3 linked regions of the Schizosaccharomyces pombe genome follow. The gene in region 1 interacts genetically with each later gene. Each region holds a gene or a part of one and is shown on either strand. Other genes may lie near its edges. The genes, in order: csx1, grc3 and cip2.

Region 1 (7,464 bases):
CATCCTTTTTTTACCTTTGCTTTTACGCGTCTTTTCTACTCTTTCTCGTCTTCCCCGTTTGTTTTGCTTGTGTTTACAAAAAAAAAGACGCGTTTTAATTCCTTTCGCATTCACCTCATTCCGTAAAATTGCTTCTTTGCCGTGTGTTTGTTGAATCGTATTGTTTTCCTATTTTTTTTTAAACCGGTTCTTATTCACTTACCTTTTTACTACTACTAGTACTATTACTATTACTGGTACTACTATTACTACTTACTTTCATTACCGTCAAACGCCCCGTTAATTCCGTAACACCGTTAACGCCGCTTTTCTCGGTTTTCTTCCTTTTTTTTTTTTGTTTCACTACATACATACAAACTTCGTTTAATACCCCTTGTGTGTTTTTTTTAGGGAGTTTTTCTTTTTTTTTTGCCTATCCAGTATATTCTAATTTACTCTTGTCTTCTTCCTTTTTTCAACCACTTGTTTTTGTAAGCTTTTGCTACTCTCTCCTAGTGTCTTTACTTTTTGTGGTTGTTGTGTAATTTTTTTTTTCTTTTGCTCGGTTCGGTTAGTTTAGTTTGTTTTGTTTGTTGCTTCGTTTACTTATCTTTCAAACAAAGCACTTTTCTCCCTCTCTTTCCATTCCATCACACACTGCCTTATCAACAAACCCCCCAAGAAAAGTCTTGCACTTTTCTTCATCCTTTTCTTTTTTATTCTTTTATTCGCTTTCTCACTTTCACATCATTCACCGCTTTTAGCAACACTCGGCTAACTATTTAAAAAGTCCAGCCAAGTTTCCTATTCATTCAATCGATTTCATTCGATTTCCTTTTCTTTCCTTTGCAACGGTTTCTTTTCTAGACCCATTTCTCGGTGGTTTGCTTTTTTTTTTCGCTCACCATCCTCCCACATCAATCCTTACCTGATTTTCTCTCTCTCACGCACATACTCTCTCTACTGCCTTGTGCTCTCTCTGTCTCTCTCCCTTGTCCTCTTTCGATTCTTAACCTCGTAAATCTTACATCCATTTTTCGGACTTTGGTTTTCGGTACCGGTGCGCATCGCTGTCTCGCTTTTTTTCCTCGCTACGCATCCTTATTGCTCTCTTGGGATTTCGCCACTTTCCCTCGCCTTGCTTGTCTTGTGTTGCCTAGCTGATTGCATAGCCCATACTTCATTTGTGTTTATTACACACCGTACCCCCCTTGTTGTGTGTATACGTTTTTAAGGTCTCGCTATTTAAAGTGCTTGCCTAGTCTGGACACGCTCCTACTCTCTCCCATTCACTTTTACTTTTCACTCGTCTCCCAACGGTTCATCCTTTCTTTCCTTTACTTTGCTTTGCTTCGCTTTGCATTCGGAACCGGTTGTACTTTTTTTTTCTCTTTTTCGCTGCGTGACTTATTTATTTGTATTTTACCGAATTCCTCTAGCATTCCAGCGTTCTATCCTATCACCACTTTTTTTTTCATTTTTCTTCTTTTTCCCCTATTGAACGATTTCTCCTCTTCCCTACTCTATCGTTCCCTCTAAATTTTCCGTACCTTTTTGCAGATTCCTTACTTGGTTATATATTACTGACTGCTTTTGGTATCTTTTTTCCATTCTTCTTCTCGTCTCTTTCAAACTCTACCTTTCTCGAGAAGGAAAATTTTCCCTTTTACTTCCTCGCATACCGTATCCTCCTATTTAGCTATATCACTAGCGAAAAAAAGGACTACTCGATATCAAAAGGATTCGTTTGTTCTTTATATATTATAACATACATATACTGCACAGTATATATATATAAACCTATAATATACGGACACCTCTTTTTCCTGCATTGTATATATATTATATTTATATAATATATAATATAATATAATATATATATATATATTTGTCATTGTTGCTGTTGTTCTTTAACTTCATCAAAGAAAACACTTCTGTCCCCCCTGTCAGGTTCCTTCGTTTTTTATTGCACATATATATATATTTTTATTTTATTTTATTTTCTTTTCTTCTTCTCTTTCTGTGATTGATTAACTCGACTCGATTTTCTTTTTTCCTTTTCTTTATTTTCTCTCTTCCAACCTTTGGTTTCTTTTTCTTTTTTTTATTCTTCATACCTAATAATTTTCAGAAGAGACCTTGTTCATCGTTGTTTCCTTTTTCTTTCGTACATTGTATTACTTGTTTTATTATTTTTAAAATAAAAACTGAAGAACCCTGCTTCATCACAACCATCAGGTTTTCTTTTTCGTGTACCCATTCAGTGATTTTAACGAATTTTTCTTTCACGCCTCATTAAGGATTGTATTTTCGCTTTTTGTCTCATCAACAATCGAATAACTTTGTTTCTGTGTTTTTTTTTTATATTTTCACTTCAACAAGCTTTTTACCGCGAAACCATCTCATTTATTAATTTCCTTTTATTTCAGATCGATTTTGATTTTTATTCTTCCAATCCTCTTTAATACTCGATCTTTGTAACACTTTGTTTTAGTACTTCTTTTATTCCTGAATCTTTTTTTTTTTGCTCTTACCGTTACACTTTACGCAAGCAAAAAAAATTTCTCTTTTTTTTTTTATTAAATTGTTCTTGATTGTTCTATTAGCATTTCTTCATCTCAAGAGTTCTTAGACCTCTCGCTTTTTCGTCCTTGATTTATTTGTCTGTACGTTATAAGCTAAGCTTTATTTTGTTCATCGTTGAAAGATTCTACCACCCATTGTCTTATACTGGTTACGTTTTTTGACTTTTGTGTCTCATTGAAACTTTGTTGTTCATTCATATTACTTACTTTCTTTTACTTTTTTTTGGATATCTATTTAAATGTCTATTGACTGCCTTTATCGCCGTTCTTCATTGTTTGATACTTCCTTCGTCCCTTTGCATTCGTCTATTCCAGCAACCTCGAAAATGTCAGCTTCTAATTCAGATGTCAATGCCCCCATTTCCCCTGTGGTTGATGAGGGCAAATCAGAGTTAGTTTCTCCTACTTTGGAGAGACTTGTGGCTCCTTTCAACTGTTCTCCTAGCTCCACTCCACTTCAAGATGTAGCAGGTGTTGGCTCGAAAATGAGCGACACCTTATGGATGGGTGACCTGGAACCTTGGATGGACGCTACTTTTATTCAACAGCTCTGGGCTTCCCTCAACGAACCTGTCAACGTTAAAGTCATGCGCTCCAAAGCATCCTCTTCGGAAACGCTTATCAGCTATTGCTTCGTTCAGTTTTCCTCTTCTGCAGCTGCTGAGCGTGCTTTGATGAAGTATAATAACACCATGATTCCTGGTGCTCACTGTACCTTCAAGCTTAACTGGGCTACTGGTGGCGGCATTCAACATAACAACTTTGTTTCCCGTGATCCTGAGTTTAGTATCTTCGTTGGCGACCTTCTTCCCACTACCGAGGATTCGGATCTTTTTATGACTTTCCGTTCCATATATCCCTCATGTACCTCAGCCAAGATCATTGTCGATCCCGTTACCGGTCTCAGCAGGAAATATGGCTTTGTTCGCTTTTCAAGTGAGAAAGAACAACAACATGCCTTGATGCATATGCAGGGCTATTTGTGTCAAGGTCGCCCCTTACGCATCTCTGTCGCTTCACCAAAGTCTAGAGCCTCCATCGCCGCCGATTCTGCCCTTGGTATCGTTCCTACTTCTACTTCTAACCGCCAGCCTAATCAAGATCTTTGTAGCATGGATCCTTTGAACACTACGGTGTTTGTCGGTGGCTTGGCTAGCAATTTATCCGAGAAAGATTTGCAAGTTTGCTTTCAGCCCTTTGGAAGAATTTTGAACATCAAGATTCCCTTTGGCAAGGGATGTGGCTTTGTCCAGTACAGTGAAAAATCTGCTGCTGAAAAGGCCATAAACACTATGCAGGGTGCCTTAGTTGGTACTTCTCATATCCGCCTCGCGTGGGGTCATAATACGCTTCCTGTATCTGCCTTGTCTCAATCTCAATCCCAAGTTTCAGATGAGGGCTTCGACAGAACTCTTTCCGCTAACCAAATTTTCGGTATGAATCAATCTGTCATTGGAGCAAACTCTGGCAGCTCAAACTCATCCGGCTCTAGCTTGAAGAGTGCACCTGTTTCACCTCGTACTGCTGCTGCGCAATCTTTGTTGCCAAACTCCGTTGTTTCCTCAATCAATGGCATGAACTCCGTAAATTTTTCAACCATTTCTCCACCTCCTTTGTCTCGTTCAGCCTCCATTTCTCCTACGTTGTCCGGTAGTGGCTCAGGTTTGACACCTCTTTCTTCCCATTTCCCTTCAGCTGCCACTGGCTTGGTAGGCGGACAGGTGTATCCTCAGTCTTCTGTTTTGCAATCCTCAAAAATTAATGGTTCTGCAAAGGTCCAGCCTAGTGTGAAGCTCCCCGAATGGTTGCAGCCTTTTTCCGGCAACAATCATAACTCCTTTGCTACTCAAGATTTATTAACACGTGTTTCCTCCTTAAAGTTGGTTGATGATGAGCAACCTGCTTCTTTGAATGGTTCAGCATTTCAAGCGAGAGCTTCTAGGCCTTGGAACCTAGGAAGGGAGCGTCAGTCTTCACTAATTGATCTCCGTCATGAGTTGGAGCAAAATGAAAACGGTTTGGAGAAATCCGGCTTTGGTTTGAACTTGAGAGGTCGCTTGCCTCCTCGTTCTTATTCTACATTTAATTGTACTGGTCAATACTTGCAACCTTCTCTACGCTTGTCACGCGATTCATAAATTATTTTTATGATGTTTGAAATGCATTACTACTACTACTATTTGTTTCTTCCACTTCTCTTCTTAAGTGAAGGGATTTCCCGAATATTCTTGTTTTATTTCTAATGTTTTTGTTTTAATTTTTTATTTATTTTCGTTTTTCAAAGGCATCCGTATAAGTTTTCGAGGGCTCCTGATCAAGTTAGTTTAATGTCTTAAAGAACTGAAGGGTGCTCTCGTGATTTTTTTTATTTTGTTTTGTTTTTATTCTTGTATGTTAAATCTCTCTTGTGATGTTTTTTATAACTGTTGAATATTATTTGTGCCAAGGATTGTTTTATTTATGATTGTTTTATTTTTCTTTCATTGCTGTTGTTCCTTAATGCACATATGTACATGAAAACTTCCATTGAGGTTTTTCAAACGTCCAAATCTTTTTTTTGGATCGATGAGTTATTTATATGTTTTATTTTAAAATGTCCTTTCCAAAAAATAATTTTGTTATTTTTTCTTCTGATTTTCTAAATAATTAAAAGCATTGTTTTTGTTTTCAACTTATATAATGGAAATTTTCCAGTGACTGTAGTAGATATTGGTAGCTTGTCGATTGTAGCTTTTCAATTAAAAGTTTTAAATCTGAAACTTGAATTTCAAACACATTTCTCTAAAATTAGTCGAAAAAAATGTAAGTCAATTGAACAAATACTTTTCTGATGCTTTGCATTATCCGATGCACCTCTTCAGTATGTGCCATAATATTAAATGCCCAAGTAAAGACATTTATGTTTATCCCTTTCTAATTTTCACAGAACATAAAAACATCATTTTAATTAAGACTTTATATGATTTTTTTTTTACAAAAATAGCTATTCAATATGAAAGATTGGTAGAAATATGTTTGCCTAGAAAGTAGCACCCATTTACCAACATGCGACGATACTTAAAAAAGGCGAAGCCTAAAATCGTGCAAACGAGCGACAATGAGGAAGAAAAGCATGAAGAAAATTTAAACGTTTCTCAATCAAGTAAGAACTTAAAAGCGCAAAAGTGCTTGGGCTCGAATAGAACTTATTATCGCAAGTGTACTAACAATGCTTAGACAAAAATGCAAATAGAAGAAAAACAAAAGCGAAAGAAAAAAATTCGGGAAAATTTAGGGTGAAATATGAGAACGAGGTAAGTTGTTTTTTGCTGGAAAACGTTTTACCAATTCATCTGTTATATTAACAAACATTGATTAGGAAGGAGACGACGATGGGGAGGATTCTCAAATCCCTTTGATTCCAAAGGTAAAAAAGCAAAGCTCTTTTCATTCGGTTGATGATTTGTAAGTAAAATGTTTTAAGTCCAAGTATTAGTTATCTAATTAATAAAGAATATCGCGAAGAATGGATGCTCTCTCGCATGAAAGTGGATACTCCAATGCTTATGTGGATGAGTTAAAGAGAAAAAGTAGGCAGACACCATCAGAATTTACAAAGAAGGAGGAGGATTCCTCGACCAAAGAAAGCGAATTGCAAACAAGATCGTCACCTCCTTTACCCGTTAATACTAGTTTGGAATGGAATATGCTTAATCAAGGCATTCCTGAGGAAGCAATGATTAAGGAGTTAAAGGATCGAGAAGGAAGAAAGAGAAACATTGCCATGATGACGGATAATTACATTTCACTTGAAACAGGGGACCAACTGATGTTGGCACAAAATCATAAAGAAGAGAAATTGCTTCAAACGGAAGACGAAATTCAAGATGAAGGTTACTCTGGATTTGAAAATTACGTGGAGGAGTCAGAAAAACTTCAAGAAATATACCACCATAGCTCGGAAAGTTTACGGACACGATCAATTCAAATGGCCGTCGACCAGAAAAATATGGAGATGGAATTGGACGATGAAGACATAGCAGAGCCCATCCAATCATGGGAACATACTCAAATCAAGAAAGGTGCCTTTGGAGAATCTCCTGCTTTTACAAATGGACTTTCTGTGAAGCTTCCTAATATTCTTACAATGGATGAACAAATTCAGCGGCTAAAAGAAGCAATAGCTTCTGAGAAGCTTCAGCAGGAGGAGCGTTCACAGATTATTAAATCACTTATGGAAGAAGAACTCGAGATTAATGAACAAGAGGAAAAGATTAAACATTCTTTCATTGATTTAGATAAAACTTTGTTGAACAACCTTACCAAAAGCAAATCCTGATTTACTTTGGATTTTTTAATTGATAAAAAAAAAACAAAGAAGAAAGACATGGTCGATAAATTTACTTAACGCTATAACTTAGATTTACATTTCTTACAGAACTCTTATCCTTGTACAGTATTAATTAGCTGTTACAGCCCATCGGTGACTTGTTGAAATAGAAAAACAGTGCCAAGAAGTCACCGGGAATTACAAAAAAATAATGACCCGATATTTATGGAGATAATAGATATTAATTGCTAGAAGATTTCATTAGCTTTATCACATATTAAAGTTATAGCCTCTGAGTATTCAAAACTTTAGTAAGTAGCATTGTCACTTACAATGGATTTTGTGTGTTGAAGAGAATACATTTTACCTACTGCCAAAAAGTGGGTTTACAATAAGACTTGTCATTTTATCGTCTCAATGGCTCTGAAAAGAAGCTATTATGCGTCAAAAGATGATTATTCGACGAAAAGAATCCTCGAAATTATCGAAAGGCCATTGAAGAAGCTTACAATAGAGGATACTTCAGAATATGATGGTATGTATACTATCGATTAACCTTTTGAATAAATTTAAAAGGGAAAGCGAATTCTC
Region 2 (8,893 bases), on another chromosome or scaffold:
GACAGTGATGAACTTTTAATCAATCCTAAACGACGTCCTATTGAGGTAAAGCCCGCCGCCCCTGTACCTACTCCAGCTCCACCTGTAAAAACTTCTCCTCACCCTGCTTCCTATCGCCCACAACCTACGCGAAATGTCGAAGTTCGACCGTTATTAATGCTTGATGATGTTCAATCAGCCCAAATTACACAATTTCAGATTCGTCTTCAGCAACGTCTTACCAAGAAGGAACAGCTCGATCGTAATTGGGTTGACCTTTTGGAGACGCCTAGTACCGTTATTCATACTAATTATCCCGATTCGTTTTACCGAAACATTATTCCATATTATTCAGGAAAAGAAACGAAACAATCCCATAATCAACTGAGTATTCCTTCCTCAACCCCTTCGACTCCATTATCTGATAATGGACCCACCTACTCTACACCTCACTCTTCCCTATCTAATTTTAATACGTGCGATTCACTTTCATTCTCTTCAAATAACTCTTTATACGGCTATAGCACTTTATTACATCCCAGAAATCCCATCTGCGTTCGACAACGAATAGGACGTGGAGGGCGTTTGATGTTGGATCGCACTCGTGCATTGCCAGTACATCGGTTGAGTAAACCAAAATCTCGTGTTGAAGATCGATGGCTTTTTGACATTCCCTTTGATGCCGATGACACAATTATACTCGATGATGAATCTGATGCTTCTATAATGTTTCGAGCTAGCTTGCTAAACGATGATATGGGTACTCAGTCATAAAACGCTTTTTATCTATGGTATTTATAATATTTCCATTACTAAAGATTTCGATCAAATTTTATTTTAACTATTTCTCCTCGACTAGCTTATTTAAGATTTTGATTGATTTCTTGAAGGGATTTGGGGTATAATCTATTTTTCTCTTTAGAAAAATAGTGTTTATTCATTTTTATGATTTTTGTTTGTCCAAATAAAAAATTTAATAGGGGGAATTGACTTGAAAGCATAGTCAGCTTTTTTTTTGGCTCACAAGATTTGATTTTGCTTCTACAGTCCAACCCTGGTTTTATGCATGCATAGATTCTTTATCGTCGCTAATTTATTTGATACTGTACTAGTTGAATCGGTGAATTGTTACAAAATTTTTGGTGATCCCGCTTTTTTAGACTTGCATGTGGTTAATGACTTTTTTAATGACATTCAATTCATTGTTCAGCTTTTTTAATTTAGCATATAATAAATATACGATGTACGAAGTTTATGTCTTAACGACTTATCGAATTCGTATTCAAATTGAATACATTTTTAGCTTTTTAAGTAGTTTTGGAAAAATTTCAGACTAAGTCATTGCGTTGGGTTGTTGATTATATATTTATTGGTTTCTTTCCTTTTTGTTCTATAACCATTTACTTTAGTTCTCTGAGCTTATTTTTTAGAAAATCATCCACTAACTATATGTCTCTCTCATTGCTACAAGATACAATAGCAAATATGAAGAAGAGTCATATCGAATTTATAATGCTCACTCTTAGTTTCCATAGTATGTGTTAATAAGGCGTACTTCTAGCAATTATGATTGCAGTAGGAGATTTAGAAATTATCGACTTAATTGAATATCAATAACCTTTATCTTTTTATTGTTGTTACTTTCAATTATAAAAAACTTGAAACAACTTTTTTAACTGAACTGACAAATTTTAGGTTCATCATAACGACTTTGGGGATTCAATTAAAGTCATTAAGTATATGAATGATTAATAGATTTACTGTTTAGCTTTTATGAAAATAAAAAACTAGTAATACTCACATGCATACTATTCACTTCATTGTTTACACTTAACTATTTACCAACAACTTCTTTAGTCACGTAAACTTCAACACTACCAAACGAAGATATAAAACATCTGCAATAATAAATCAGTCAAGGTACTAATTGATATATTGCTTTGGTAATATTACCAATTAAACATTCTTTTATATTTTAAATTTTAAAACAACACTCTTAACAGCCGCTCGATTCCATTTTAAATGCACAATTTTATAGCGAAAAGACTATTCAGGCCCAAAAACAGGCGCTACAAATCTCTCAAACGATGCGTACGTTCGGCGACGTATCGAATTTATTGTAGAATGGTCGACTGTCTGCAAAGCATCATAAACATGGAATATGCCAATTTGCATTATGTAAAGGAATCATCAAACCTTGAGCGTTCTTCAACTTACAAGAGCTCAAAAATTCAAGATGAAGCAAAGCAACTGTTATATGATTATGTGTACATTAAAGAAAAGTTACTGACAACATCTTCAAACAGCTTGACTCATTATCAATGGTATTTAATATACAAACATACGTGTCGCTGCTTTCAACAAGTCGTTCGTATAGTCTATTGGTTTTTGGGAAATCAAGTAATACGAGAGAATTTCAGTATCAAAAAAAGAAAACCACACAATCACATTCCCCAATTGCTAGAACAGTGCACTTGCATAGCTGAATCCTTCGAAGGGATTTATACGAAAAAGCAAATACTATACTTCAAATGTTATGGCACTTTCAAAACGTGGAAAAAAATAGCCAATTTTCCTCACCTTTAGAGAAAGGAAAATTGAAAAGTTGAATGATTACATACAGATACACAACCATTGAAAATGTACTCTGAATAAAATCAAAAAAACTCAACAGCAAAACCATCTCTAAAAGTTAATTAAAATAGTCAATCGGTAATCCGGAATATCGAAACCAAGCTTCAAACCGTTAGTCAGAATATGCTAAATTACCAAAGTAGATTCTTAAACATAGTGAAAATTCAAATGCCTTATAAATTTGCATATACAGTGTAGAAAAACTCAACATACCAGTGATATGGCAGTAAGTATGAAAGTATCCTAATGCATAACTTTTGCTGCCAACAAAAGACCATCGGAGCTTAACCATCGATATGCAGTCTCGCAATAAGCATAGTACTCAATGTTCCCAGACCAGTTCGCCGAAGAACGTAAATTGTACTTGCATTGGAGTAATCTAAAACAAATTCAAATCACGATTTTTTCTTAAGAAACAATAAATATAAATAAATTTCACTATTGTCCTTTTTAACCGCCAAAAAAAAATAAGAAAAAGTATATTTCATATAGTTTGTATTCAGCTGCCCAAAATAATTTCTAGCAGGTATGCAAAAAGCGTAGCCGTCTTCAGAAATTCGTAAAACATAAGATTTGGGTATCATCCAACGAAAGTACTACGACGGATAATGTTACGGCGAACGCGCCTACGATGAGCGCCAACAGCCACCCGATCGTGATTTCGATCGAGGTATGGCAATTCCGAGTATTGTGCTAAACGGTGATCCAACATTGCGTACACTGGAAGCTCTAACCTTCCTCTTTCAAGGACAATTTTCAAGCTCTTTGCATAGGCATCTTTAATAAGCTCAAGATTAAGAGGACCAACAAAATGAAATTCGTTACGTTTGAGATCAATAGTGCGTAGCACGATTAAACCTAGGCAATGAGACGTATTGGGATCCAAAGGAAGTCCATCATTGATGATTAATGGTATCCCTTCAGGACTACTAACAATCCGTTGTGTGTTACTGTTATCTAAAGAGGCAGTGTCGCAGGCATAAAGTGCCATTAAAGTACCATTAATAGTTTTCGCGACATCATTAACATTAAGAGGTTCACCTATAATATTAACAGCATCTATTCCCTTAGAAGATCCCTTAAAAGCTGTGGCTATAGGTTGACAAGCTGTCAAACTTGTCGTAAAGTCCCACCTCTGTAAATTGCAATTGAAATACAGATAGGAAAGTAAGCCTAACATACGATTATCAGCAGAGGTAACCTTGTTAACGTTGGGATCAGGCAGATACTGCCAAGTTGATTCCAAGAGGGTAAGTTGAAACTCATCTCTGCTTGAAAGAAAATCAGGCATATATTCTTTGTGCTGGTAAATACTCTTTTTTTCACGATGACTTGATTTCATGTCTTCACGACTCATGTATACAACTTCTGTTGGTTGACATATATCAACAATAGAAGAAAGAAGCTCAGCACCACCCCCTCTGATCCAACCTGGACAATTTATTATCAAAGGAATAATCTCCTTTTGGGATATCTCTTGATTAAAAATATAATCTTTATATTCAGCAAAAAGACGAGTAACACAAGCAATGTAATGATCCGGATCTTTCTGGGGACTTATATCTCCGAGATGCAAACGTAACATGTAAGTAGGAAAGAGCATTCGGGCGAAAACAGGTCCTTGCAATGGTGAGTTAATATAATATAATGAAATGTGCCCAGAAGGTACGACTTCGGGTTGACCAGGGTCGAGGTCAAGATATGCAATGTGACGATACTGCTGTAAAAGCCTATTGGTGATGTATCGTGAAAAACTGCTTTTACCGGATCCTTTAGGTCCACAAACCATAAGACGAGGAACAACATAGTCTGACTTGGAAGTGGAAAACAGTAACTGGTTAGAAAAAGAACACCAAGACTCCGGAGTTATCTCAAAATTATTTGATATTGATGAGGCATCTTGCAAAAGATTCTTAAAAGAAAACAAACGCTTTGCAAATGGAAGGACACGAGCTATCTTAGAGAGACCATTTTCATTTTCTCTAAAAGCTATTACAGTTTCAAAATTTGGGAGAATATCTTTGGGCTCTAATTCATATTCATGCTCTTTTGGTGAGTAAGAGGGAACTGCAAAGGAACGAAGGTTAAGGGAATCTTCTTCATATTCGGAAATCTGCATAGCAGGTAATGCATTGTCTATAGCAGAAAATACTGGTGTCGCAAATGCTAACGGAGCATTTAAAGGAAACCAAGACATACAAGCTGAAGAATAGGTTGCACCAAAGAGCTGAAACTTCCCTCTAACGCTACGAAAAATGAAGGTACCAACCATTGCTAATTTTTGATCTTTATGTAATCCAACGTATAGCGTATCTTTAACCCTGAATGAATTTTCTTCCGTAATTTTAATCACCGGAATGGCATCGTTAGACGATTGTGGGCTATGTGGAACGTTTTCACTTACGGTTTCGTCGTCCAAGTTTAAAGGTAAACTCGGAGAAATCGTTTGAGGACTAGCAACTGAGAATTCAGAGTATTCCTGAGGATTAACCTTGGACCTATTTATATCAGGAGTTATTTCAGAATCATTCTTGGATGACTCTGAATGGAGCTTTGTTCTATGATCAACTCCTGGGACAACCACTTGTACGAGCGTGTGCTTGTAAGAAGGAAATTCGCCTTCAGTTTTCATTTCGTCTTCATATTTGTCTTGGCTTTCTTCTTCCGAAACGCTGCGCTTTTTCCCCGATGAATTGTCTTTCTTTCTGGCTGCTTTACTTAAAGTCAATTGACGCACAGCGAATGCACTGAGTGGAACTGTCATAGAACTGTTAGAATATTATCCTAGAAAAGATATAAGAGAGCCAATACTTAAGACTAACTAAGACACTTACCATTTGAGCTCTCAATACGTTGACGCTTGACCATTATGGTAGAAGCTTATTAAATAAATAACTAAGTTTTCCTTTTTTTTTTTAAAAGTGCAATTCACACGAATGTGAACAAGCAAGCGCTTTGGATCTTAATTCAATTAACAACAATCCACCATAAACTAACAATCAATAACAAAAGTTAATTTAGAAAATTTAGCTATGTTTTGTAAACAGATAATAAAATTTTTTCTTCTTATTGCACAGCGAGAAAGAGTAAATAGAGGAAATACCAAGTAAAGTACGATATCTGTAATTTGGGAAATAGTGATTAACGGTATATTTTTATAACAAAATGTAACAGCACGGTATTCCTTTTTTGGTAGTAACATAACGATAATACCAGCTTGCTTTAACTAGTAGCTTCTTATTAATATTGAAACAATGAAGAATTAATCGTTATACCTTGAAAAAAAGGAAAGAATATAATACTCGTTAAAAATCAGTTATTGAAGTTAATAGATATTTAGACTATAACTGTAGTGATAATTATAATTGGGACGAACACCCGAGTTTTTTTTATTCTATCAGTTGACCCAACAGTTAGGTTATGAACTGTTGCTTTCGATGTGGATAAAAGTATTAGAATATAAATCATTAGTCTCTTTGATTTATATATTGAAAATTTCCACAAAATATGTGTCAATCAAAGTCATATCGCCCACTCAGCTTATGCATCATTAGGAAACTCAACATAAAACCAGTATATACGTTTACTGCGTTATTAGATATTCACTATTGCAATGTGTCTTTAGGTTATTACTATAACAAACCATCGTTCTGAATCACAATATTTTATTATGCTATTCATTATTTTGTAAACATTAATTTTGTTTGAATTGAACCATTAAACAAAAAGAAAAAATGATAATTAAGCTTGATTCATTAAGAATCAAGATGAAGGAGAAATGAACGTAATAACGACAATGAAATTGTGAATTTAACAAGGCGGAACAACGAGTTTTTCGATTTCATTAGTTGATTTTAAGTTGTCGTAAACAATTTAAATCATTATTGTTTGTGACTTGAGTTCCATTAAAAAAGACAAATAATTAGACTCGCATACATAATAAATAAAGACTCGGTCCTCAATGCACTTTATCCAACATCGTAGAATACATTGGTTGGCAATTTTTGGTAATTGAAAGAATAAGTTAAGCATATATTCCATAACCTTATAGTGAAAGAGGATGATTAAAGAAAATTGGTGCTTATTTTTAAAAAAGCCGCAGCTTCTCTGCGTTGGTAATTTTGGTAAAGAGGTTTTCCAACTGGAGCGACAACTACATTAATAACGCAATTAGACTTCGCTTTCAACTTCCATTTCCCCCAAGGGAATGTCATTATTATCGTTGGCACCTCTAATCGCTCTCCCTGCACCTTCTAATCGGGTAAGTAAAGAATCATTCATACAGTTGGTTGAATACACATACCTAATATAAAAGCTATACCATTCCTGATAAATTTGGGCATCCTTTTGAGAGCACCTGGACATTCTGATACGATTAGAATAAATTACAGGAATATTAAACAAACCCATTTCGTAAAAGAAAAGAAAATTGCCTATAACAAAGAGTGAAGAGGCTACAATTTCGTAGCCTGTCCCGTCGATATGTTTGTCAAATAAATGCATCAAACCTTTCGTTACAATAACGACACAACTTTGTACACCTAGAACTTGAAAAAACCCAGAAAACATATGCTTAAGTGTCCAGAATGGAAGACGAACTGCGTGTTAGCGGTCAGTAATGGTAACTACATAACTTCACATACCATATAATAAAAATAAAAGTAAAGCAGCTGAAATACTGCATGTAGAACAGATGAGAGTCTTGTCTAAGTTCACATTACCGAATTTGACGCAACCAAAGAGTACAAAACAAATGACTACCCATAATAACCAGATTATTACAACCCATTTTTCCCTTGAGTTGTACAAGCCGACCGCAGTTACCTTGACACATTGTGCCACTGCCTGGTCCAAGTTTCAAAGAAGCCTAATGAGTTAGTGAATGAACGTAAGAATTGACCTATCGTGTCACTTACACCATAAAGAAATAAAAATCATCAGGCAAATAGCACACCACACTCCAAAATATACCCATTCATCTTTGCCATAATCTTTAAAGAGAGCGTCCTTATACGTTAGATAACAAATTGCGGGTACGTTTAGCACAAAGATTGAAATGAATGATAAAAATTCTTTTTTCAACGGAGAGGTAGAAGAATTATCTGCCGTCCCGGAAGAATGGTTTTCTCTATGTGTGTTAGGAGGATTGCTTACACGTGCGTGATCTGTTTAACTTAATATGATTGAAATACTTTAGTAAAGAAAGAACATGTTTTAAAATGTGTGCATTGCATGGCCGATTGTAAACAATGACCAAAGCATGCAATTTGACACGATGGCAAGTTTCAACTTTCAATTGAGTAATTCCTTTCTTATTATCTACAATTCTTACCTGAATATGGAGGTAGTGTGCTCTCTTCATCCGAATTATATTCTGGAAGTAGGCCTTTTTCCAAATCAATTTCATGTCCTGTCTTCAATTCATCTTCTTCATCTATAGAACTTTCCAAGGAAGCGTAATTATTCTTCATAATAATAATATCATTCCTTATTTAATAAAATACATGCGCGAATTAATTGCTGTGATTGCGACAAACGAAACAGCAAAATCAAGAATATTCACTCTGGAGTTCAGTTCCCGCCGTTCAACGTAAATAAATGAGCAATACTCGTTTCAAAGAAAACCGCTTTTTTAATAATAGCAAGTGAAAAGTAGAATTCCAAAACCCATTTTAATGTAATTGCCTCTGACACATTTATTTTGTCACTGCCCTTTTTATTCACTCAAGTTAGCTTTCCTTATGTATCATTAAGAAGTCCGCCATAAATCAGTATAGATGTTTACTGCAGTGTTTGACACTCAGAAAGTTACTTAATTCATCCTACGGAGCTACTAGATTTCTGTAAGCTACGCAGTTTGGTATCTGATTTAAGGATACGTAGAACTGCGGTGAGTTTTCCTTGTGGTCTATTATATTACAATACACAGGTTGTATAAGTAGCAACAGAGTATAGGTATTGTATTAACTAGGTTATAATGTTACCTATCACTAATATAGCTCATAACTGAACCTCGTTCCTCAGTTCAGTTGTAACGCTATTTATAATATTTCTAAATAGTTGTTATCAACGGGTATCTATGTATATAGACGGATAGTTACCCGTGATTATCAATAAACGGATCTTAGCTAGTATTCCAACATATGACATATAGTGATACGCAACGTAATGTAGCATAACGTAGTGTAGTATTGCTGACAATTTCGCTGGCTTCGGTCAACGATACTGCAATACAAGGCTATACACTGCGTTGCCTACCATTATATGTCATCCGTTTTAA
Region 3 (8,143 bases), 3.2 Mb from region 1:
AGACTTTGGAGGAACAAGAAGACGAGGAATCGAAAGAGTTTTCATCGACAAATTCGCTGACATCAAATTGTGGGACATCAGAAAGTGTGTTAAATGGTGAAGAGTTTAAAGGATACAGTTTTTCTTTGAAGGAAAATATCAAATCATTATAAGGGTTAAATGAAAAGGGAATGACCTCATCATGGACAGAAAAAAGTTTCGGTTGTTCGTTTATGACACCCAAAATTTGAACATGAGTTGGAAAGGCTGTAGAAGGAGTAAAAAAATCAATGCCAGAACATTGTGAATTTGGTTTAACAGGATATTTCTTCTCATAATTTACAAAGACAGAATTATTTGCGGATCCTTCATTTCCATTGACACAAGGCAATAATTGACGAAGTGTAATCGAATTGTTTGACAAAACAGCCAATTGTCCAGGTTTCCATTCAGAATATTTCAGTGCAAATAATTGTGGATTTTTGGGCTTTTTATTTTCGTTCCGTAAAATAATTTGTAAATAATTATCGGATTTGAAGTATCGAGTATCAAAAATCGCAATGTCACCATCATAAGAATTTGCGGCAAAATAGTTAGGAGAAAATGGATCAACAACTATATTACTATAATATTGCGTATTGACGGAAGAAACTGAGTCTAGTTGCTGCCTAGTATCAATTATATGGACAGAACGCGAAGTTGATCCGGTAAGCAAAAGAGGAGTGTCTTTCTTATAACAAACGGAAGAAACTCCGTCTAGAGTAGAAGACTGCATTAAGGGACTACTCTTCGGGTCAGACAGTAATGAATTCAAGTCCCATAACTTCAAGGAAGACTCGTTTCGAGATTTTGCAAATCCAGCAACAAGATGTTCAGTTTCAGAAAATGCCAAACTATTGCAAGGGCGAGCATATCCAGGTGTTACTACTGCTTGAAATTCTGGATGCTTAACAGAAAGCAATGATATATTTCCGGTAGAAGAACCAGCACCCAATATTTCATTGTTTCCGTGAAAAGAGTCTATACATTTAACATTTTTCAATGATCTCCAAATAATGTGAGTTTTCCAATTTACTTTAGGGGAAGCTTTGACGGCGACATATCGAATCTCATCTGAGGAGCCGTTAACCCAAAAATAACAGCCATTCCTCTTTTTACTTCTATTTAACATTCTCTAAAGAGAAATTTGACAATTAGGCTTTACCAGAAACGCCCAAAATACTGCATAAACATTAAACAGAGCTTGATCGAAGCGTTCTTCAATCTCAACCACTCGTCAAACATAACGTTTAGCACTAATTTGCTTAACGATAGCTAACAGAAATGCCTTAACAACGGACTGAAAAGAGGCTGTCAAATTCAAAGGTTTTCTTTTTGCTATTGATGATTCTCTTAACAATAGTAGTATTAAAATACAGACCGGTTGCTAGATTAACTATCTTTTGCATACTTTTTAATCTCTAGGGTGACTTCGGTGTCGAACAAGCGATTCTTTGATGTACTGTTGAAAGTCTAAGCTTTTAAATCACTCCACAAGTACAACATATAAATCTACCTTGAATAAGTGTGAGTGAATCAAATATTTTAATCATAATTACCAGCTTAAACTTATATATAAAAGTAACGTGTCACTTGAGAACCTAGCAGCTGTAAAAATTGCAGTCCTTTAAGTTTACTACTGTTCTTCACCAGAACTAATTGTTTATGGTTTGAATTTCTATTTATCTATTTTATTGAGCGTTTTAGCATGCCAAAATTTAAGGGCCCTGGACTTTCTGTGCTGAAGAAAAAAATTCGCGACAATGAGAGATTATTGAAAAAGGTGTGTAATTTTTTTGCTGGTTTAAAAACATCTGCGGTTTCAGTGTGTAATAAATATTACCTTCCTTTTTATGTTAATGAATAAGAAAACTAACTTCCTTTAAGGAGAATTTGCCTGCAAACATTCGTGTTGAACATGAACGAGCTCTTTTGGGTCTACAAGAGCAGTTGTCTATGGCACAGTTAGAGCATAAAAAGCAAAAGATTTTTGAAAGATACAAAAAAGTTCGATTTTTTGGTATGAAACATATATAAAAACAGCATTTTTTGTTCAGTGAACTTGCTTACTGATTTTCTCAGAACGTAAAAAAGCAGAACGACGTATTAAACAATTGGAAAAATCTTTGAAGGATGAAACTATGGATGATGAGAAACGCAAGCAGTGTGAGAAATCGATGCGTAAATGTCAAATTGATCTTATGTATATTAAAGTATGTTTGTATTTTCGACTTCATTTCAACTATCAACTTGGCTAAGATACTAACCTATTTAGGAATACCCCCCTTTAACAAAGTATGTTTCACTCTACGCAGAAGGCACATCTGAACAGACCGAAGAAACTCGAAATCGCATTTGGGCCGAGATGGAAGAACGCTTTAATAGTGGCAGAAAACACAAAATACCATCTTCAGGTTCCAACAGGGTTCCTGTACAGGAAAAAAGTTCAACTGGTGGTGATTTGGAAGATGAATTTTTGCAAAGATAAATGAAAACTTGGATTGAGGTTTTGGAAATAAAGGGATTAAATAGACGAAACTGTAATAATATGATTCATTCTTTTTAATAAAGGTTGTGAAGTTTCCATATGAGTTATCGAGCAAGGTATTCTTTTTATGCAAGTTTATTTAAATTTTTTCTATGTCATATTGCAATGGGATTTGCTAGGGTACCAAAAATAGAACTTGTGGGAGAGAAGCTTTTGGATCCTAAGGTTCACTGAAGATATTTTTCACATATTTCATTCTATAATCTAATATGCTAAAATTCGAATGATATTTCATGGAATATCAAATTAATAAAAATATAAATTTACAAGAATTTAAGTAAAAACAAAAAATTAGGACTTTCATTTTGTTCTGTTTTAGGTGGTCGAATTATTAGACAGTTTAATAGTCTTTATCATTGCAGCAGTGTTTTTAAGAGCTCTTAGATGGACTTTCGGTTTTATCATCACAGTACCCTGTTATTTGCCTGGCAAAAAGTTACCTAGTGGGGGTTTAAAAATCAACACCAGTATGTAGTATATACATTTTATAATAATTATTTTTACATTTGCTTCTATAGATTGGTATATTTGAATTTATGGGTTTAAGACCTCAATAATATGGTGTAGTATATTGACTTTGCGCCCTTGGTGGTGTCCACGGATACCTAACCTCCGCACCACACGAAGTTACGACTTGTTTAGTGTCGATATGGCTGAGGGCACAAGCCAAAGGCCATTAACGCCTTTGTCGCAGGCATTTTTGTCAACTAATACTCTTTCTCCTGCTTCTTCCCCTTTAACTTTCCATTCTGAGGCTGCATCTCTGCGTAGAAAACGGTCCAACTTTTTCCCCAAATTAGATGAATTAAATGGAGCTCAAGATGAAGAAATGAGAGGTCTTAATATTCCTGGAGGATCAGGATATCTCGAGAACCGATATGGTCGTGATAAGTTTACGTTTTCTGATGCAGCCGTTAACAGTGCTGGAATGGGAGGGTCTGGCATATTTTCCCACAACAATGCAGATGATGGTTTGGGTGATGGTTCTTCTACGGTTTTACCAAGTTCCCTTAAACAAATGCTGGATCCTGAAATTTCAACTGCCAATAATCCATCTGCAAAGCCTCGTCGAACTCGTCTTCAAACTGCTTGGAAAGAAGCAACTAATTCAGCAGGCCTTTCTCTCCGGTCTGCAAGTGCTTTAGATGTACTCAAAAATTCTGGACCTGCTACTACCTCATTACTTTCCTCAACAACATACCCTTTTGATAGTTTAAATGCATTCAACGAACCATCCCATTCACATGTACCAAACTCAGCTTCTAGCACTGCTCTGTCTAGAGGTATGAGCAACTCTGTAACTTTGACGGCACCCCCTGAACCTGATGAAGAGACCATTCCTACCGCGATTGTTATTAAAAATATTCCATTCTCCTTGAAGAAAGAAGTGTTGTTTAAAGTGTTCACTGCATTAGACATCCCACGTCCATACGCTTTTAATTATCATTTTGATAACGGAGTTTTTAGGGGCCTTGCCTTTGCTAATTTCCATTCTCCAGAGGAAGCCAAAACGGTTGTGCAAGTTTTGAATGGCTATGAAATTACTGGTCGTCGTCTTCGTGTTGAATGGAAGCGTCAACTACCGCCTGCGGAGCGTGAACGTGTTGAGCGTGGTAAACAAGAGAAACGCGCTGTAGAAGAACGAAAAAATCAATTGAAATCTCCGTTTTCTGTTGCCAATATAGGTGCTGGCATTGATTTTGATTTGAATGATCCAGCTATACTCAATGTATATTCTCATATCTTGTTATTTTATTATCGCAGCGATAACACTAATGATCTTGTATTTGATTCTTCAACCACCCAGGAAGAACGTCGGGTTGCTGCCTTATTAGCTTCCCGTCTCAATCTCAATCATTCAGTTACTGGTGACGGTGAAGCTAAGCAAGTGGTTATTACCATGCCTAGTACTCATTTTACTCCCGCTAATAATTCGAGTGCTAACCACTCTCCTTTGATGGCCCCAAACGCCAGTACTTTAAATCCTTCTTCTTTAGGTGCTTCCAATTTGAGCCAACCAAGTCTTGCAAATCACTTGAGCTCCTCTGGTTTATTTGACAATGGTCTTTTCTCGTCCGGTGGTCTTTCTAGTAATTTTTCAAGTCTTAGACGACCCGCTCCCTCTATGCATCTTGCGGATAGCATACGTTCTCTCAGAGGACTAAATGATTCTAAAGCCTTTTCCGACATACGTAGTATGCCAGCTACTCCGTTAGAACTTGCTACTCCTTTTGCTAATTTAAATGTTTCCTCTCCACTGGATCGCAATGCGACTAATTCATCAAATACTTTAAACGGTAGTGCGATGAACGATTATTTTGCAAGCCTTACTCCATCAAACACCGGTGCTATTGGATCCAGAACTTTTACAAAGAATTAGTCTTGGATTTTTTGTTTTTCCCTGCTTTTGATTAATCTTGTTTTGGCTATGTCTCGGGTTTTATTAAGTTTCATTTACCTTACGATAATAAGCGCTTTCAAGCAAATTTATACTTTGTACATAAAAACGACGAGTGAAATTATCTCAATGAATTATCCATTTTTACGACCTAGTGTTCAATTGAGGACATGATTTTCATGCTTATATCGTTTACATACTCACTTCGGATGTGCATGTGATCGGGCTCATGCTTTTAAACTATAATGTGATTCTTGTAAAACGAAAAGGATTTAATTTAATAGATGATATTTTTCTCTCTTCAAAGTCACGTTTATGATTATTTTGAGAGGAATAAAATGGAATTTTCTTTTGTGAGATTTTTTTAAACTTTTGTATCGCAAATCCGGTTTGACGATTCGTATACTGGGATACGATGCTTGAGCTATACAGCAAAAGTCTCAAATAAAATTTACGATAACCGATCTTACGTGGGATGTTAATGGTGTTATTTGCAATAATTTGTTGTTTTGATTGTGTTTTGTTCTTATGTGTAGGACCTTTCGTTACTATCAATACCTTTTCAATTTCTATATCTCATATGTTTTGTACGGACCCAGCTTGTTCACGTTAGTGTCACTCGGTTTTTAACTATTACGAATGATGGCTTCATTTTAATGGCTGTTTGGCTAATTGTGCCTAAATTCTTTTCCGTGTTATTGATTTGATAATGTGTTAAAGAATTCAATTTCGATTATGAGAGTTCGGTTGTCATTTGTATGATTTTTTTCGTCAAGATATGATTGCACTATTTTTTTTTTGTTATTATTATTTTTTTTCGCACTGTTTTTAGTGGATACTTGATGATTTTGTCTAAACGTATCTCGTATCTGCTGTATCGTTTAGTATTACTTTTTAAATAAGTATAGAACATTTACGACTTTTTAATTTGATAAATTGAGTTGATCTTTCTTATTTGAATAATCACGAAGAAACGGCACATTGACCATAGTCGAGCACCGCATTTTTTTTAGAGGTTTTAATGACTGTAAATCGACTAAATGAAAACGCTCCCCGTTCTTGCTCTATATGTTTTAATTTTTTAGAAGCCGTTTAGCGATAAACAATGCAATACACTATTTTTCGATATTTTTCTTCAAGAAGCTACCAAACCTATTCTTAAAATTTGGTCGCTTTTCTATTGGCTATTTGCCGGCATGTCAATCTTTATCCCATCAAAGTTCTTTCTAGAATATCAGGCAGTCACAGTATATATAATGTCTATTATAGCTAACTTATCGTCTGCCTAGCCTTGTTTGGAATTTCATTAAGCGGAAAATAGTGAAGAGTATTTCACGTATTTTAAAACCAATAATATATCTAAAAGCTGCAAGCATTTATTTTTGCAGGGACAGCTAGCTGGTTATATTCCTAACGTGTGGGTTGTATTTGCGTTAGATAACTTTACATTTCTTTATATCTCTTTTTGGGTGCATTAAAAAAAACCATTTTTTACAACTTCATTTTATTTCATTAATTAAACATAATGGTGAGCTTCCTTTCTTCCAGTGTATCTCGTCTACCTTTAAGAATTGCTGGTCGTCGAATCCCCGGCAGATTTGCCGTCCCTCAAGTTCGTACATATGCTAAAGACTTAAAATTTGGTGTTGATGCTCGCGCATCTTTACTCACCGGTGTCGATACTCTTGCTCGTGCCGTATCTGTAACTTTGGGACCAAAGGGCCGTAATGTCTTGATTGACCAACCTTTTGGTTCCCCTAAAATCACTAAGGACGGTGTAACTGTCGCCCGTAGTGTAAGTTTGAAAGATAAATTCGAAAACCTTGGTGCAAGACTAGTTCAGGATGTTGCAAGCAAGACTAATGAAGTTGCTGGTGATGGTACCACTACTGCTACTGTTTTAACTCGTGCCATCTTTTCTGAGACTGTTCGTAACGTGGCTGCCGGTTGCAACCCTATGGACCTTCGCCGGGGAATTCAACTTGCTGTTGATAACGTCGTCGAATTTTTGCAAGCCAATAAGCGTGATATTACTACTTCTGAAGAGATTTCCCAAGTCGCTACCATCTCTGCTAACGGTGACACTCATATCGGTGAGCTTCTTGCTAAAGCCATGGAACGTGTTGGTAAAGAAGGCGTTATCACCGTCAAAGAAGGGCGCACAATAAGCGACGAATTAGAGGTTACTGAGGGTATGAAGTTTGATCGTGGTTACATTTCTCCTTACTTTATTACCGATGTCAAATCACAAAAGGTTGAATTTGAAAATCCTCTTATTCTTCTTTCTGAAAAGAAAGTGTCTGCTGTCCAAGACATTCTTCCCTCTTTGGAGCTTGCCGCTCAGCAGCGTCGTCCCTTAGTTATCATCGCAGAGGACGTTGATGGTGAAGCTTTGGCTGCTTGTATCTTAAACAAGCTTCGTGGGCAATTACAAGTTGTTGCTATTAAAGCCCCTGGCTTTGGTGACAACCGTCGTAATATGCTTGGAGATTTAGCCGTCTTGACTGATAGTGCCGTGTTCAATGATGAAATTGATGTTTCCATCGAAAAGGCTCAACCCCATCATTTGGGTAGCTGTGGCTCTGTAACTGTCACCAAGGAAGACACTATCATTATGAAAGGTGCTGGTGACCATGTTAAAGTTAACGACCGTTGTGAACAGATTCGTGGTGTCATGGCCGACCCTAATCTCACTGAATACGAAAAAGAAAAGCTTCAAGAGAGATTGGCCAAATTGAGCGGTGGTATTGCTGTTATTAAGGTTGGAGGCTCCAGTGAAGTTGAAGTCAACGAGAAGAAAGACCGTATTGTTGATGCATTGAATGCTGTTAAGGCTGCTGTTTCCGAGGGTGTTCTCCCAGGTGCTGGTACCTCTTTTGTTAAGGCTAGTCTTCGCTTAGGAGACATTCCTACAAATAACTTTGATCAAAAGCTTGGCGTCGAAATTGTTCGCAAAGCTATCACTCGTCCCGCTCAAACCATTCTTGAAAATGCTGGATTAGAGGGTAACTTGATTGTTGGTAAACTTAAGGAGCTTTATGGCAAGGAATTTAACATCGGTTATGATATTGCTAAGGATCGTTTTGTTGATTTAAATGAAATTGGTGTTTTGGATCCCCTAAAGGTCGTACGTACCGGTTTAGTTGATGCTAGTGGAGTCGCCTCATTAATGGGTACCA

What was found.
Region 2: of csx1 (region 1) and grc3, extra expression of one rescues a mutant of the other (dosage rescue), as found in Schizosaccharomyces pombe (one study listed by BioGRID).
Region 3: of csx1 (region 1) and cip2, a mutation in one rescues a mutant of the other (synthetic rescue), as found in Schizosaccharomyces pombe (one study listed by BioGRID).

The regions. Positions count from the first base shown.
Region 1 is NC_003424.3:3,567,685-3,575,148, reverse strand, and holds csx1 (RNA-binding protein Csx1), read left to right. Parts: upstream 1-2,803; coding exon 2,804-4,702; 3' UTR 4,703-5,142; downstream 5,143-7,464. Other genes in the region: SPOM_SPAC17A2.10C (uncharacterized protein), read left to right, coding at 1-154; spliceosome complex disassembly protein Ntr2, read left to right, coding at 5,610-5,706, 5,781-5,857, 5,923-6,008, 6,057-6,882; SPOM_SPAC17A2.07C (uncharacterized protein), read left to right, coding at 7,291-7,408. UniProt on the Schizosaccharomyces pombe protein: Regulates global gene expression after oxidative stress. Interacts and stabilizes atf1 and pcr1 mRNAs after oxidative stress, thus controlling their turnover.
Region 2 is NC_003421.2:2,180,395-2,189,287, reverse strand, and holds grc3 (polynucleotide kinase Grc3), read right to left. Parts: upstream 5,689-8,893; 5' UTR 5,482-5,688; coding exon 5,448-5,481; exon of another isoform or gene 5,371-5,447; coding exon 3,194-5,370; 3' UTR 2,566-3,193; coding exon of another isoform or gene 2,134-2,565; 3' UTR 1,899-2,133; downstream 1-1,898. Other genes in the region: NuA4 histone acetyltransferase core complex-Piccolo HAT module linker protein Epl1, read left to right, coding at 1-753; protein mug128, read left to right, coding at 2,134-2,565. UniProt on the Schizosaccharomyces pombe protein: Polynucleotide 5'-kinase required for both rRNA processing and heterochromatic gene silencing.
Region 3 is NC_003424.3:340,202-348,344, reverse strand, and holds cip2 (RNA-binding protein Cip2), read left to right. Parts: upstream 1-3,173; 5' UTR 3,174-3,215; coding exon 3,216-4,946; 3' UTR 4,947-6,255; downstream 6,256-8,143. Other genes in the region: GATOR2-SEACAT complex ubiquitin-protein ligase E3 subunit Sea4, read right to left, coding at 1-1,150; efg1 (rRNA-processing protein), read left to right, coding at 1,727-1,801, 1,906-2,038, 2,101-2,231, 2,294-2,506; protein Mcp60, read left to right, coding at 6,490-8,143. UniProt on the Schizosaccharomyces pombe protein: Regulates global gene expression after oxidative stress. Interacts and stabilizes mRNAs and may regulate their transition between different cytoplasmic components after oxidative stress.